4 linked regions of the Arabidopsis thaliana genome follow. The protein of the gene in region 3 interacts with the protein of the main gene of each other region in a pairwise test. Each region holds a gene or a part of one and is shown on either strand. Other genes may lie near its edges.

Region 1 (7,098 bases), on a different chromosome or scaffold from region 3:
GAACTGTCCTTACGAATTCGTTTCTAAATAACATGTTTTAGATCCTAACTGTTTGTGTTCTTATGTGATGGTTTTTTAGGGACCGGTAGGTACAACGTGACTCATTCTTGTGAGAATCCAAGTTTTGAACTATGATTTAAAGTCACAATATATGGTTACCATCTCAAATTTTATGTAGAGTGCAACTTTTTCTTGAATTGGCGTGTGTTTGGTCTTCTCGAACTTGCTTCTAACGCTATTTCAAACTTGGAAAATTTTGATTTTCACTCTTTATCATCTTGTTTGTTCAATGAGATTAGCCGTTTTGTTTGTATATTGGGTGTGTCCAATTATGCTCTTTTCTTATGTTATTGTTTATGAATAACTTGTTGAACATTTTACTTATCAATTCACTCCAATATATCCTAAAATTGGGATATGCTCAAATCACATCTAGATCTCATGATTCATATTTCTATACCATTCTTTCGATTTTGATCTTGTTTCTGTCTACACCTCCTGTAAAATATATTTTTTACACAAAATGTATTTAAAACCCATTATACAAAATAATAAACTCCAGTAAAGTGAAGAATTACAAGTAGAAGAAAAAAAAAAGACATCTCGTACAAAGTCAGAATTGAGAGAGCCCTAAACACAAGGAAAAAAACAAGAACAACAAGAAAAAGTCCACTTTGTTTGGTTTTAGACAAAAACAGTAACTTACTTTTTTGGTCAAACTCTGTAGAAAGAATCAATCTCCCTTGTAAATCTCACCCTCCTGTCACCATCTTCCCTCCGTCACTTTCCCAATTTAATTTATAATCAGAAACCCTACATATACACCTAGGTTTAGGGTTTCGCTTTTTCAGAGAAAAATAGTTTCTTTTTCTTCAAGTTAAAAAAAAAAAATTATTAATCTGGTACGCTACAGTGCACCGAAATCCCATAGATGTATAATACTCTGAGCCGTTGATGAAGCTGACGCAACCGCCACATGTCTATCATCGGCAACAATGGCGTCAACTTCTCCTACTCTCTCCCTAATACTGTACAGATACTCTCCTCTCTCTACCTCCCACACGCGCATTATACCACCTGCGCACATTAGCGCGTGCAGTCTATTAACACAACCCATTACTCTTCTCTGCGCCGCTCCACTAACACGGAACTCACACACCGTTTGTTGCGTGTTCACCCTTCGCACGCTAGCGTTTCCTCTACTGTCCAATCTAACGTACGCTTCGTCGTTGGCATCGAAGCCTGTCACTATTAGTCCTCTACGTTGCTCTTCGTCTTCTCCGATGATCACTCCTTGGTTTCTTAGATCGATCACCATGATTCTCCATCTCGTGCATGCTACCGCCGTCTCGTTACCGGAGATTCTGAGACGGCCAAGGGACGTTGTTAGCTCTGTTAACGTGTGCCATCCCATGACAGCTTCAGGGTCGGTGAGTGTACCACCGACGAATGTTGTCTCTTCGCTGTTACAGTCCCATATGTGAAAGGCACGACCTGGCACACCCGCGAAAAGACCGACCCACCAACGTCCACAGCCAGTGAAATCTACCAACGCACCGTCGTTAACTATATCTCCTGCGTAAGCCGTGCGTGTGTGACCAACACCGTCTATTTCCGCCACGTGGATGTCTCCGTCCATCGTAGCGAACGTGAGCCTTGAGTCGGAGATAACAATGCCTGAGACGGCTCGTGAGAATCTACCAAAGCGGTCACGTAGAGGTGGCCGTAAGGTCCTGACGTGGAGTCGGTTGTTTAAAAGAAAAAGCCGGACGGTTCCGTCGGCGAACCCTGCGGCTAAGTAGAGGTCTGAGAGGGTGAGACAACGGCAAGAGAGACTATCAGGCTCGTCCACATCAGACGGGTCAAATTGGAGAGTGAAGTAGGTGTGAGTACGCGTCCGGAAGTTTCTAGCCGTCCGATGACGGTAGATGAACTCGTCCCGCCACGTGTCGTGCATCAAATGTGTTCTTGCCCAAACTTGGCGAGATAGTAGTTGCCATAGATGGTCGGAGCGAGAGACAGCGTGCCACGTGGTGCAAACCTGCGATTAAGAAAAATTATTATAAGTTTTAACAAATATTATAATTAGTAGCTTAATTAATAAATGTATAAATAAGGGAGAGAGTAAAAAAAGACATAGAAAGAAGATAAGTAGGCCTGCAACGAAGCATGAAAGACTCTATATATAGGGACTAGGAAGATGGAAAGACAACGACAGACTCAGACACAAGCTCTGCGTAATATTTGTCTTACTCATCGAAACACACAACTCATTTTTATAAAAATCTATTTTATGACATATGTTCAATTGACGGGACTAATCAATCTCTGGAAGCTATAGATAGAGATATAACAACAGAAGCCCTAGTGTAAAAGGAATAATGAGAGGAAGCCCTAGTCCCATGTCAAAAGAACAAAAAACAAATCAATGTGACAATAATACAAAACAGATGATATGTTAATTTATTAGGACAGATGAGAAGACTTTAAATGAGTTAAGCTGAACATGAGATTCCGACTTTGCCAACAAGCGTGCCCTTCTCTCTTTCATTTCCAAGAAAGGATAGCTTTTAAGCCTTTGGTCTTGTTAAAAGTAGAGCTTCCCATAAATACACAAATATTACACTTATATATAGTAGATGTTTCTCTGTCTCTCTCATCCCTCTCCAACAATCCGTGGACCTACATTCTCTACATTTACGTTTATATTGTTATTTATTGTACATCTTTATTCCTCATTAAACGCAAAGTAATGTATTTGACTTCGTACTCTAGCTCTATAGTACAACCTAAAATCAAATATTTCGAATTCTATACGAAAAGAAAAGATATCTTGTCAAACCAAAGGTTTAATGTCTATTAGTCAGATAATCATTATAAAAAAAGAATAATCTAGGCACTAGGGCACGAAATGTAACATAAAATAGATTAGTACAACAAATAACATATGATGGAATGGCAAATCCTATTTATTATTATGCAAATTACCAATCACATCAATATGATATACTTCAAATAAGAAGGGAAAGAAAGTAGTTCAAATATTCCTGAGTTCTAAGATGACCAGATTCAGAATATCACTTTTGTATTTTAATGTGTGATATATCAAATGTAAGAACATAGTATATAATCTATAGACACCACTGCACGTGCTCTAAGAGACCCTTAACATTGGGTTCCATGTGCTTTTCGGCATATGTATGCCCATAATGTCGTCTCTTTTGACTGAAAAAAATTAAGGAAAGAAAAAAAAAAGATAAAAACCCACTTCAATGGAAAAGATGAATCGAGTCAGGAAAAAAGATAATTCCATGATCAATTTCAAAGTAAAAAACAACAATGAAAACTCTAGACTTATAGCCTTAATTCTCTGACAAAAGTGTTATGCTGTAACTACACTGCAGTTTCTTAAAATTTTAGGGCAAATTTGAAAATTCAATTAATTAGAAAATATTATGGGATTTAATAATGATTTAGAATTATCATGTATACATAGAGAAGTGAGATAAAATAAGAGAATGAGAAGTTGTCAGAAGCTCTGCATGCATTACTCAGTGGATCATAATATTGGCAGAGAAAAAAATAACAAAAGCAGGACGCAAAAAATGTACATATGTACTTATATACTATTCCTCGTTACTATATATGAGAAAAATCTTCAGCATAATATATATATGTATTATTTGTTTTTTTATGAACAAAAGAAAAAACAGCTATTTTCATATATAACATAGGATTATTAAAAAGAATAATATGAATGCCTGATATAATACATGGATCATATATCTGTTGATGAATAGAGTTTTCATGTATGTAGAAAATAACCTAATGTGGTAATATAGGACTAACATTGGCAAGGCAAAAAGACAGGACCTTACTTAGGTTTCTTTTCATTCTCTTTTTAGATGTTGTTAAATGTGCAACGACATTTTCTAGTTTTATGAGTCTGTCGTGAGAGGTCACTTTCTATTATTATAATTTTAAAACAATTAGCAGATAAATACCGTTATAATTATAATTCTAAAAAATATTAAATCTATTGGGCATTGGACTAAAGACTGTGCCTAATGTCTATCAACCAATATTTGGAGACAAGAAAGTGTTTAATTTGATTATTATTGTAAGAACTTTTGAGTCAAAAAGTGGATTTCTTGATCTTAAAAAAGGGCTTTCTACATGCCAAGAAAGGAAGATTTAAAGCCAATAAAATAAAATAAAACCTTGATTTTGTGCCCTAAGGGATCCAATTCATAATATAATATTAATATTAGAGTTACTATGCCCAAATGTTGTACAAAGATTACACAAACGAGATGGGGTTGTATGGTCTCCTTAGAGGATCCAAAAATAGACATTAAAAGGTATCAAAAGTAGACGAGAGAACAATGAAAAAGAAATAAACTTATTGGGTAAAAATGGAAGACAAAAAGTTTCTAAATACATAAAAGAAAAACAAAGTCCCCAAACTATATGATATGTGAAAGAGACATCAAATTAATGTCGTCTTGTTAGACATAAAAGTTGGACTTGGACCCATCATAGAAACACAGAAAGGGCGGTTACCTTTCCAAAGGTCAGTTTTTTTTTTTTTTTGTCTCTTCAGAATCCCAACCTTACAAACTAATATCACATTCAATCGAATTGAAGTAACATCATCACTTAATTATGATCTAAAGAGTAAGAATTCGTTATACCAAAAAGAATTAGAACGGCAGAATCAAATCTAAGCTTAGAAACAACTAAAGTACAAGACACTTGAAACAAGCAGTACATTTGACTAGACCAAGATTGTGTCCCTCCACTTAAGTTATTATAGACCCACGACTACTTTGACTTTGTTTTGTCTGCATAAGATCTATGTCTCACTATTTTCAAGTTCAAATATAAGCTAATAAACGAATTCAGATAGTGTAACGAAAATATTACTTTACTACCTGAAGTACATATATATATAGAGAGACACGAGATAATTGATGTGTCTCGACCGTTACAAAACTAAAAGAAGGTATTCAAAGAACGTTAGAACTGACCCGAAAAACGTTGGCAAGAGCCGGAGCTGCGGCGAGGAGGCCGGCGGATGTGGAAGCGTTAACGGCAACTTGAACGGCGAGAGATTCAAGAAAAGGCTCCGGCCAAACATCGTTGGCTCCGCGGCGAGGGCGGGATGGAGATGGGGCCTCGAAAACGCCGCCGCTTCCACCGGCTCCGTTGTCGGAAGAAGAGGAGGAGGTAGACATGAGACGAGAGGGGTTATAAGAGGAACAGGGGAAGAAGAAGAAGCGGAGAGAGGAGAAAGAATGGTGGGGGAGAGAGGAAACAAAGGACAAAAAGTGTAGATAAAGACATACTTCTCCGAGGTGGGGGACCCAGGTTGTGAAGGTATGTTTTTTTCCTATTTTTATTTTCTTTTGTCAAGATTTGTTATTATTTGTTTTTGTTTATTCTTAATAGATGCAGATTTGTTTGTGAAATAGCTTCAATTTTATATTTTTTAGGAAAAGTATTGGTTCAGTATGGTGACATATTTCAAAATTTCTTTCTTTTGATATGCAGATTTTGAATTATAATGGCAATATAACAGCTATATTATTATAAATCACTAGATTTATATTTTGACGATTTTTTATATTTAAAATAGTGTTATATATCATTAAGAATTCAACAATATATTTGCTAAGTTTATTTCCTTCCGCGAACATTAGTAAATTTTTTGTATATGGTAAACTATTGGCTAAACACAAATATTTGTAGATCGATCCATTTTAAAAATGAGAAATAAAATAATATGTATACGCAAAAAATTTGTCAGAGAGATCAAACTCGTAGCACCAAATCTCGACTTTCATACCAGTAGTAAAAACTTTTAAAGCATAGTTTAACATATTTTTTTTTCCCAACATACTATTGTCATTATAAGTAAATAATTTTTGGAAATCTGGTTAAGCATATTCTTATCATTACAATCCTCAAACCTAGAATTCGCCATATTCTGTCATCACAAAACTTAACCCTACTTTTTCTCATATTGCAGCTATCACGATCCTCAAAACCACGGTTCATCGTGAACTTTAGTCCAAACTCATCACAAACCAACACATGAGCATGCGATGCTTTTAAGTTTATTCCTCAATCTAAATATAGAAATATTTACATTTTCTGAAAATTATTCATATATATAGTGCTTTTATATAATTACAATTAACATTTTTGATTAGTATTTTTTAGTTAAAACATTTTTATTCTTTTTTAATTAAAAATAATTAACGAAATAATGATGAATCACGTTATTAAGAGAGAAAAAAAAATAAAGCCACATTATTAACGTCACTAAGAGGAACATTTTGGTTTTCCTCCCAGACATTGTTCATCTTGGGAAAAAAAAATGTCTTCTCTTTTACTAGGTGTTTATCCGAAAACGAAGAAAACCTATTTCTCGTGGCTATTCTCTCTTTCTCTCGTCTCTTCCGCCCGAAACTTTTAACGTCGTTGTCATCGAGTCACATTTCGTCTCAACTCAACTTGTTTCGATATGTGTCAAATCTTTATTTCGATTTTTCCGACAATAATCAGACATCTAAGTTCAATAGCAAGTGATTCCCATGATTAAAACCATTTTCTAAAACCACTGTTATGATATTGATGGTTTTTATCGACGCTTATTACGGCTGATTTTTGCCGTCGATTTACATATGGTGGCTGATTTGTTATTTCTATTCGATTTGATGGCTGAGTTATTGTATGCTTTAGGACTGATTTATGATTTATTAATGCATATGTGGTTGAGTTTGTTTTGTGTTGTGGCTTGGTTACTGTATGTTTTATGACTGATTTATGATTTATCAATGCATATGTGGCTAGGTTTGTTTTATGTTGTGGATGAGTTATTGTATGTTTGACTGAGTTATGATTTATCAATGCATCTGTGGCTAAATTTGTTTTATGTTGTGGCTGAGTTAATGTATGGTTATGGCTGATTTATGGTTTATTAGATGGCTAAGGTTATTTCTGAAGAACAAGCAAAGGATTACCCTCTAAGAATTTACGCAGAAGGAGAGTCTAATCTAGAGAATAAACTCATTAATCACAATATCAAGATGA
Region 2 (3,342 bases), on a different chromosome or scaffold from region 3:
TTGAAGTTCCTTCCTTTCAAAGTTCCATATCCAGTTCCTTTTAGACTTCTTGGTGATGAAGCAAAAGGTTGGCTAGATACTACTTATTTGTCGCCTTCAGGTAACCTTAGGATTTCTAGGGGAAACAAGGTAAATGAGTTTCTTGATTCTCAAAAAGAAAATTAAAGCTTTATAGCATTTTTATCCATGAGGCTGTATATTTGTAGCGCAGGGAACAACGTTTGTTCTTCAGAAAGAAACCGTGCCTAGGCAGAAATTGTTAGCCACCATATCTCAAGACAAAGGAGTAGCTGAGGTAATGTGTCATGCCTTCAAGAAATCTGAAAACAATCGATAGTTTCGGTTTGAAATGGAACCAATGGATCGTTTAGTATAAACACAGGCTATCGATGAGTTTCTTGCGTCTAATTCTAATTCCGCGGAAGATAATTATGAGCTTTTAGAAGGAAGTTGGCAAATGATTTGGAGTTCACAGGTCACTTCTCTGATAACTTTAGCTTTTGTCTTGAACAAGCACTTATATTCGTTTGGATAAGCGATTTTTCGGGTTTTGTGTTTGCAGATGTATACAGATAGTTGGATTGAAAATGCAGCAAATGGTCTTATGGGAAGACAGGTAAACATTTTATTAGAATGTCTTAGGTAGTCTATTGTTGCTTCAGCTGGCTTCGTTTAGCGAAATCGAGTATCTTATTCAGATCATTGAGAAGGATGGGAGGATAAAGTTTGAAGTTAACATCATTCCGGCATTTAGATTCTCCATGAAAGGCAAATTCATGTAAGTCTCTGTCTTTTAGATTAGTCATTTTGCTAACTTTTTTGTGATCTTGTTTCTTGACTGGTCTCATGAATGATTTGCAGAAAATCAGAAAGCAGTACATATGACTTGAAGATGGACGACGCAGCAATTATAGGCGGTGCATTTGGATATCCGGTCGATATAACAAACAATATCGAGCTAAAAATTCTGTAAGATCTCTCTATCTTCTTCTTCTACTACTTTCACAAATCACAACATATAATAATGCATTTGAATTGCTAATACAGAGATGCTTACTTTAATGTTTGTAGGTACACAGATGAGAAGATGAGGATAAGCCGAGGATTCGATAACATTATCTTTGTGCACATCCGAGAAATTTAGCTGCATTGTTCTATCAGAACCTCTTATTTGAACATATGAAAAAAAATAGTATGTAAGAAACTGTCAAATGTTTTACAACAATGGAAGGTGATAGTTTAAATTTTCTCTGTTCATTAGTTTTTTTGGATGTAACAGGAACCAGAAAAAACAAGAAACCACATGATATAATTTTCGCTACTAATGTCTAAATTAAGACAAAATTAACATTAAGAAAACTTTACTTTTTGTCTTAATCTTAAACAAATTCACTGAATATTTCTTTCTACAAAGAAAATACGAATATCTCACTAACAAAGGAAACTTACCACTAACAGCTTCTGGTGGCATTAATTACTCTGTAAATTGCCATTTTTTCACCGAGAGAAAACTAGAAAAACAAAACAAAACATGGAAACTGTAACATTCTAAAAGATTCATTGTTAACAAAACCAACAGAGAAACATAATACTGATTTTCCAGGATTTACTCCCTCAAATCTCTCCTTCAAATACTCTTCCTAATCTCTTCTGTTTTCATTTTGCTTGTTCCCTGCGAACATCTCTCTCTCTTCCTCTGTTTCTTGTTTTTTTGTCCTTTTCTTGATTTTTGTATTTTTTTGTTATGGATATGGACGAGATGAGCAATGTAGCCAAGACAACGACAGAGACTTCAGGCTTAACTGACTCTGTCTTGAGCCTCACGAAACGCATGAAACCTACTGAGGTTACGACCACCACAAAACCTGCCTTGTCCAACACGACGAAATTCAAAGGAGTTGTTCAGCAACAGAACGGTCATTGGGGTGCTCAGATTTACGCAGACCATCGAAGGATTTGGCTTGGAACTTTCAAATCCGCTCATGAAGCCGCTGCTGCTTACGATAGCGCATCGATTAAGCTTCGAAGCTTTGATGCTAACTCGCACCGGAACTTCCCTTGGTCTGATTTTACCCTCCATGAACCGGACTTTCAAGAGTGCTACACGACAGAAGCTGTGTTGAACATGATCAGAGACGGTTCTTATCAACACAAGTTCAGAGATTTTCTCAGAATCCGGTCTCAGATTGTTGCGAATATCAACATCGTGGGATCAAAACAAGTCTTAGGAGGAGGAGAAGGTGGTCAAGAATCGAACAAGTGTTTCTCGTGCACGCAGCTTTTTCAGAAAGAACTGACACCGAGCGATGTAGGGAAACTGAATAGGCTTGTGATACCTAAGAAGTATGCAGTGAAGTATATGCCTTTCATAAGCGATGATCAAAGCGAGAAAGAGACGAGTGAAGGAGTAGAAGATGTGGAGGTTGTCTTTTACGACAGAGCAATGAGACAATGGAAGTTTAGGTATTGTTACTGGAGAAGTAGCCAGAGCTTTGTCTTCACCAGAGGATGGAATGGTTTCGTGAAGGAGAAGAATCTCAAGGAGAAAGATATTATTGTCTTTTACACTTGCGATGTCCCCAACAATGTGAAGACATTAGAAGGCCAAAGCAAGACCTTCTTGATGATTGATGTTCATCACTTTTCAGGCAACGGTTTCGTGGTTCCCGAGGAAGTAAACAAGACGGTTCATGAGATTTCTGATGAAGAGATGAAAACAGAAACCCTCTTTACCTCGAAGGTAGAAGAAGAAACCAAATCAGAGGAGAAGAAAGGAGGGTTTATGCTGTTTGGTGTTAGGATCCAATAGCTAGCTACTTGGTTCTTAGGTTTTTTATATTATAACTTAATTAGAGTATGGTTTTTATTTGCTTTTGTATTACATAGTTTTTTTATTTACAAACTCGATGCTTCGATTTTGATATCTAACATTAATTAGATAAATTGTCTCTCTTGAGTAGATCAAAAAAAAAAGAAGAAGAAAAACCAAAAGAGGCTTTAAATTCTTCTTCTTTTAAGAGTTAAGACAAAAGCCACTTAACTGCTACAAACTACAACGAACTAAACAATCCTAACAAAGACATTTAGTTAATGTCACAAAATGAAATAGATACAACTCACTTCTCTCTCTATACACTCCTTAAGAAGAGGTGAGTCTCCGCTTACATCTCCTTCGAGTCCCATCGCCCTCTTTGTCAGGAGTATCTTCTACAACAGTTTCTTCTTGTACAACCAACCCTCGGTTTCTCGATAGTTTTCTTATTGGTGTTGTCTGAGTATCTTGTGTGAAGTCTGCTGATGCAGGGGCTGATGCAGCGGGACAAGAAGATGAAGCAACTGCAG
Region 3 (2,838 bases):
TCAATTCTTCATTTGGTAATGAATACACGGATGGAATGAATGAAACGAACGAAACTCCGAGCCAACATCAAATTATGTTCACCAAGTGGGATACAGGCCGATTTTGAAGGTTCAGTGTCTCTTGACATATATATTTTCGTCTATTAAACAGATTCATTGATCATCTTTGTAACTATACAAGAAAAGCTCCTTCAAAAGTAGTGTAATGTCATGTACTTGTAAAAGGAATGGGAGCTTAAGCAGGGAAAATAGTAAATTCGATTTGTAATAGTGTCATGTATTTTGTAAACAGATTCATTTATCTTTTTACATTATGATTCTCAAAATATCGGCCAAGAGACTCAAGACTGTATAATTGTCACCCTTTAGTTATGGATTTGTGATAATAATAAACTCGATTCGAACTTGTTTACATTTGTGTTTTATGAAACACTTTTTTAGTATAGCTAATGGCCTCTTGATTATGAGTCTGATATAGTTAAAGTTAAAGAAGATCACTATCTTATAAGTAGAAGCAATCGGAAACGAAAATGCAGAGGAGAATTTATTGTTGAAACTGAGAGATATTACATAAAATCAGAAATATGGGTTTGGCTAAGTTTGGTTTGAGCAACAGCAATCTCAGCTTGAGTTTTGGCTAATTCATTCTGAGTTTTCTGAATCTGAGTTTTAAGTAAATGAATAATGCCAACACAACCATAAACAGGATCATCTACTCTGCATTTTGCTTCAAAGCACAAAGATTCCACTGCTTCAGCTCTTGTCTGATCAGGAAGTTGCTGTCAAAAAGATCACCAAAATCCAACCATGAATACACTTACTTATATATATGCATAAAGTGTGATCTTAAATAGGATATTAGAAGAAGATACACAAAGATGTGTATAGATATATATACCTGAAGCATTTTGGAAACGTTTCCAGCACCATAGATTCTGTGGACACATGCAAATTTTTGAGGATCGTTTGGAGGGAAATATGGTGAGAATACGCAATCTTTTGGACATCTTCTTCTCAGATACTTGCAAGCTGCACATCTTTTTGGATTCATCTCAGATTTTCTCAGACACAAATATAAACAAATAACACAAAAGAAGAGATTGTGAAATCTTACACAAAGATTTAGCTATTTGTATTCCTTTTCGTTTCCTTTCTTTTCCAATAATCAAACGGCTAGTTTCCAGTTTCTGAAATTTGAGAACATTTACTTAAGGTAAGACTATTTATGTTGATTCTCACTTAGACTAATTAGACTTTATATTACCGTTAACATTACTGTTAAGGCAATATTAATGTTTAGCTAATTCTCAAATAGGCAATAAGAAATGTCTTCAAAATAGAGTATAATGAAGCTCAAATTTCTCATACATTTTAACATAACTGTTTCAGAAAAACTTAAAAGCGGCAACAGAAGATAATAGAGAGAGACAAAGTATATCAAACAAAAGTTCATAGTCTTTCTTTTTTTCCCCAAACTTCAAATCCTTCTTCAGATCTTAAACCACATTTTCTCTTACTTAATCTGAGTCTTCATAAACTTCACCATCGGATAATTCATCGAATGTCCTCATATCAAGCTGGTACCGCAACAATCCACCAATACCGCCAAAGCCTCTGCAAAATTGTGATCCTTCTTGGGACTTGTTAGTCACAAACTCAAGTGTACAACCAAAACGTTTATATTCGTTAGCAAACCATTCAAGCAGAGGCATCTTCTCCTGAACTTCTAACTCTGCATTAGTCTCTGCATCATGGAAATTGCTTTGGTTGTTCTCTTGATCCTTTCCCAAATGCTTAATCACGATTTCTCCGGTCGTGTTGTTCTTTAACTCATACCTATTAATATCTAGATTCTCCCACACTATAAGAGTCTCAACAGCACCCATTTCCAGAGCCTTTAAAGTATCTTCAACACCGAAAACATATTTCCCAGTGTCTTGACTAATCTCCTCAAAGTACTTCCCAATCAATTTCTTTTCTTGTATGAACTTCACATTAGATAGAATCTCAGCAGACAGCTCAATTGCTTGGTTGAAACCATTCTCTCCTCCGTAAGAAACATCAACCACATTCAATATCTTAGCTTGAAGACGAGGATCAAACAGTTCTGATTGACTTAGCTCGGTCTTAAAATCCGCTGAACCAGCAAGTATAAGACCAGAGACATTAGGCTGACTCGTAGCTGGATTAATGTAAAACTGAGTGGCAAGCTCCGCGGTTTTCCTCACATAGTTATGTCTCTTCTCCATCCTAAGACGAGCAAATCGCAACGCAGATTGTCCTCCTCTTCCGTGCTTTTTCGGAAGATCGACAGTGAACTTATGAAGAACCTCTCTTGTATTCCCACTCAAAGTACCAAACAAAGTTCCATTTCCATCCATAACAATGAAACCAAACTTATCATCAGACTCCAAAAGCTCATTCAAAGGCTCGGTGTGGAACTTATTGTCACACAAATACAACGAAGCATTAATCGGTTTAAAAGGCTCGAAATCAATCGTCACTTTCTTCTCTTTACCATCATCAGTAACAATGGTTCCAGTATAGAGAACAAGACCATTCGGAGGAACTTTGTTGTAAAGCTTCAATCTTTGTTGAGCAGAAGTAATGGCAGATAAAACAGATTGACGATTCACTCGACTCTTGATGTTTGAGGCGGTTCCGTATTCATCAGCAAGCATCTTAGTGACACGAGCTACTTGATCTCTAGGAGGCATTATAAGAGAGATCATACTTGTTCCATTACCTCTTGCGGTTTCAAGTCCTTTGATTAGCTTCTTAATCTTCCAAATCTCAATGTTCTTATCTGATTCTTGGTCTGCCATGTTTTTCCTCCTT
Region 4 (4,193 bases), on a different chromosome or scaffold from region 3:
GTATACCTAAAACATATAGATTTGTTCGTGTATTACTGAAAACATATTTAAATTTGAAAATCATTCTGAAAATGAAAATTTTATCCAAATTATGAGTATTCATTAGTCATTAGTCTATTTTCAGAGTGGATCTAGTCTACCATTGGAAATAGCCAAATAGTTTTTTTTTTTTGTCAAAAGGAATATGTTTACTTAAAAATAGAATTTGTAGGCAGATTTGATGTTCATTAGAGATATGATGCAAGAGAGTTATTTTCTCGAGACTATTTTCTCTGATTAATTGTTGGGCTTGTTCGTTTATTAATCGCTGTGACAGCAATAGGGACTCCGACGAAAAGCAAAAATTATAACGGAGATACAAAAACAGTCGTTCAATATGGACGCCGGCGGCGTCCTTAGTGAAAATGTTAAGTTGCTGTTATTTTTTGGCGACACGTGTATATGCCTTATAGGTCGCTGTTTTTAAAATCGAGCGACTCCTCTTCACATAACTTTCTACAGACTTCAACGTAATTGTGTGTTAAGCAACTGTTTTTTTGGTCGCTGGATATGATCGCAGCGTTTGGAAAAAGAACAGGCCAACAAAAAATATTTATATCCTCTTACTATTATAACAACGAAATCGATAAGAAGGAAACAACAAATGAAATGTTCTTTTCTAAAGTCTCAAACTAAGATGTTATCCAAATACATTTGAGAACTAATTACAAAATGATATAACATTAATAAACAACAAACAAAATAAAGCCGAAAACCAAAATAAAAACAAGAAAATAACGAAAACAATAAAAAAAACTGCAGAGAAAAAAGCCAGAAGAATAGCTCTCAAATTCTCTCATTATCATCTCTTTACAAATTCTTCCTTTTTTTGTTACTCTTAACGCTTTTTTCTTCATCGTCCGATTGTACCGTCACTAAGATCGACCCGCCACGTCATTTATCCACAACACCTTAAAAATCTCTAAAATATTCACAAAATCAGATCGAGTCGCCACGTCATCAAAGACTCGATCCAAGTCGACTCAACCGAGTGAGTTCTCTCTACTGAGTCTTGCATACATCTCCGCTCTCAGCTCTTTCCCAGATTCCACAAATTCCATCGCCGGAGCTTCTTCGATCTCAAACTCTCTTATCCTCGGCCACGTTGCCGCCTGAATCGGACGCAGAGACGACGAAAAAGGTAACCTAACTGCAGATCTCATCGGAGAACTCCACGAACAACCACCTCCGTTCAATTGCATTTTCCTCATCGACGCAATAAGTTCACCGGTACTCGGAGAAAGCGGCGGAGATTCCGACGGTGGTGAAAACGAAGGAGAAACAAGAATCGAAGTCGGAGAAGTAGCTAATCCTGAGAAGAATCCAAGATCTGGATCTAACGAACAAGGTAATACACGTAACTGCTCCGTCGTATGAGCGAAGAAACAGATTCTTCTCCGGCAGCTAGTTCCGTCTTTACACGGCTGAGTACGGTAACGAGAAGGATGGAGCCAACACTCGAAAACTCCATGAGAGAACTCACACGAATCACCTCTTCTACAACTTCCTTTACGAAACTCAGGACAAGCGGTGCCGGAGTAATGAAACTTTCTCGGATCACGTCGTCGAGCTTTTTCTCCGGGATGTGCGAACGGACACTCCGTCCAATCATGAGATCGACCTCGAGCGCATCGCCGGATTTTGAACTCGTAGATGCGAAACTCGTCGGAGGAGAATGAGTCGGTGAGTGGTGATGACTCGTCGCCACTTGATGAGTCTGAATCGTTTGTTAACTCGTTTGACGGGAGGTAACGGAAGAGAGAAGCGAAGGAGTCGAGATACGGTGACGGAGAGTGTGGGTAGTCGTTAACGCTGTTAAGGTTGACGGAAGAGAATGGTGAAGAGATTGTGGCCGTTGGATCGTTGATTTGATCCCATTGAGGGATATGGATCGTTGGATGTGGCCGGTTTTTATTTTCGCCGATCATCATTTTTGTTTAGTGAGTCTAGAAGAGAGAGAGGTGTGTGTCTGTGATATAAACTGCTTTATTTTAACCATGGTTGGGTCAAATATTAACTACGGTAAAGTTATGAAAATCTTGACCCTATCCACAATACCGTACGGTAAACAATTAATAAGCGCAAATCTGCAGATGATGACACGTGTAAGAAAAAATCTCCAATTTTTGTTCGTCTTTTGTTTTTTTCCCCTTCATGTTCGTCTTTTTTTTTTTTTTTTTTTCTTCATATTTGTCCCCCCAAAAAAAAAAAAAATGTTTTCAAAGCTTTAAAAATATTTAAAAATTTTCAAATTTATTTTTTAATCAATCACACTTTTAAAACTTTATTAATTTTTAAAGTTTTAAAAGCTTTTTTCTCTCCATTTACTTTTTTTCTTTTGTTTTTTTCCTAAAGTCTTTAACTTTAAAAGAGAATAATAAAACAAAATAAAAATATTTTTTCTTTATCCATAAAATTTCAAAACTCTTTTCAAATTTATTTATATTTTATCATTAAAAAATCGATTGATTAATTCGAATTTTATTTTTTCTGTTCTTTTCAGATCCAATTTAAATATTTAAAATAGTGAATTTGTAAAATGAATTTTGTATTTTTTTAAAATAAATTTATTTTAGTTACTATTTTACCAAATAAATTGATTTTTTAGCATAAATAATATTTATAAAAAATATTAAATAATAATAAAAATAATTGTGATTTTTTTGTACCAATCAGACTTTAACAGTTAAAGTTTCTATCGTCAAAATTTTTACAACCAAAATTTTTACAGTCAAAGTCGTAACATCCGAAATATTTAGAGTTCAAAAGTAACAGCCGTTACCAATCAGCCCCAACATCTACTTTATTACGCTTTCCGTTTTAAATTAATTGTCAGAACATTAAAAAAATAATTAGAATAAATATCAATTTACATTTTTAAAAGCTAATTTTGACTACAAACAAAATTAAAGTTTTATTTGCAGTGATTTATGTTTTAACCAATAAGAAATTTTGTAAAGTAAAAAATAAAACAAATTATTAATATGTGTGTCAAAACCTAAAACAACATTTTTGGAGTATCACTAACCAAAAGTTATATAGTCACATAAAACATAGGGATACATTAATTGAAGAAATTAAGATACACATTAAAAATTGAAAAAAAAAAAATTTCTATCATAACTCAAAGTTTATCACCAAAAATTGTGTTAATTATTCCGTAGCTGTTATTTGTTTATAAAGATTTAGATCATTTTGACCAGACTGTAACTATTAGATCATTTTGAAGAATCGTAGAATCATACTATTTTATTTGCAATTATATGAATTAGTCCACACTAATATTAAGGGTCTAGCGATATGAAACATAAGACATTACAGTAAGAAAATATTTGGACGGTACAGTATATATTACTTGTCACGTGACTTTCAAGGTCGTAGACTACTCCCCATGACCTGACAAGAGTGAATAAATTTGGTTATTGTCCCCCATTTTTTCTAGATCATGGAAGGATGCAACGTACGTAGCTTTTATGAAATAAATTTCGAACATTAATTTTAACTTTTGGCTCTCCAGCTGATGGGAGTAAATTGACATGCTCCAAAGAAAGAAACACAAGTCACCTAGTGATTTTCAAGAAAATGTGCTTCCTTCAAAATATCCGAGGTCTAAGATGAAATAGTTTTAAAAATTGTTATGCGGGGCATATATTATTAGAGTGTTGTGCACTTGTAACCTTCCAGAAAATAAGCAATTTGGACGATATTTTAAGGTTTGGTCCATGTTCCAGTATCGTGTTAGGGTCCACTGCTTCGAGATCTACTTGATTGATACTCTTCCATTTGTTTTCTAATTGTTTGATGCAAAGGTTATCCATTAAGGGAAACTTATCTATATCACGTGGAATACTCACTGCAAAAGATTCGCAATATTAGACTTATAATTGTCACTAATCAGACCATTAAACAAATATCAAATTGATTAATATGTTGAATTTAATAATCCAATTTGACCTCTTTCAGATAGGGCTTTGGGGACAAATCTTCTTAAATCGCACCAAACTTTTATTATAAGATAATTTTTGGTTCGTGGCTATTAAATTAAGCCTGAAAATTTAAACATATGTTTCACTTACAAGCGTCAAGTATGGATAAACAATGATTAATCATAAGCTATCATAATGACAAAAAGAAGTATGATCGTTATCAGTTCT

Evidence for each region.
Region 1: the proteins of LBD23 (region 3) and SAP interact in a two-hybrid assay, tested with the Arabidopsis thaliana proteins (one large-scale study listed by BioGRID).
Region 2: the proteins of LBD23 (region 3) and AT1G51120 interact in a two-hybrid assay, tested with the Arabidopsis thaliana proteins (one large-scale study listed by BioGRID).
Region 4: the proteins of LBD23 (region 3) and ATCTH interact in a two-hybrid assay, tested with the Arabidopsis thaliana proteins (one large-scale study listed by BioGRID).

What each region holds. Positions count from the first base shown.
Region 1 is NC_003076.8:13,935,550-13,942,647, forward strand, and holds SAP (Transducin/WD40 repeat-like superfamily protein), read right to left. Parts: upstream 5,319-7,098; 5' UTR 5,238-5,318; coding exon 5,031-5,237; intron 2,042-5,030; coding exon 908-2,041; 3' UTR 537-907; downstream 1-536. UniProt on the Arabidopsis thaliana protein: Transcriptional regulator involved in the specification of floral identity. Acts as A class cadastral protein by repressing the C class floral homeotic gene AGAMOUS in the external flower organs in association with APETALA2 and other repressors.
Region 2 is NC_003070.9:18,936,341-18,939,682, forward strand, and holds AT1G51120 (AP2/B3 transcription factor family protein), read left to right. Parts: upstream 1-1,750; coding exon 1,751-2,809; downstream 2,810-3,342. Other genes in the region: AT1G51110 (Plastid-lipid associated protein PAP / fibrillin family protein), read left to right, coding at 1-129, 212-295, 383-475, 563-616, 699-778, 862-969, 1,072-1,144; AT1G51130 (Nse4, component of Smc5/6 DNA repair complex), read right to left, coding at 3,140-3,342.
Region 3 is NC_003074.8:9,788,841-9,791,678, reverse strand, and holds LBD23 (LOB domain-containing protein 23), read right to left. Parts: upstream 1,052-2,838; coding exon 899-1,051; intron 780-898; coding exon 567-779; 3' UTR 562-566; downstream 1-561. Other genes in the region: AT3G26630 (Tetratricopeptide repeat (TPR)-like superfamily protein), read left to right, coding at 1-107; ERF1-3 (eukaryotic release factor 1-3), read right to left, coding at 1,518-2,825.
Region 4 is NC_003071.7:11,039,594-11,043,786, reverse strand, and holds ATCTH (Zinc finger C-x8-C-x5-C-x3-H type family protein), read right to left. Parts: upstream 2,457-4,193; 5' UTR 2,314-2,456; intron 2,222-2,313; 5' UTR 1,971-2,221; coding exon 1,023-1,970; 3' UTR 531-1,022; downstream 1-530.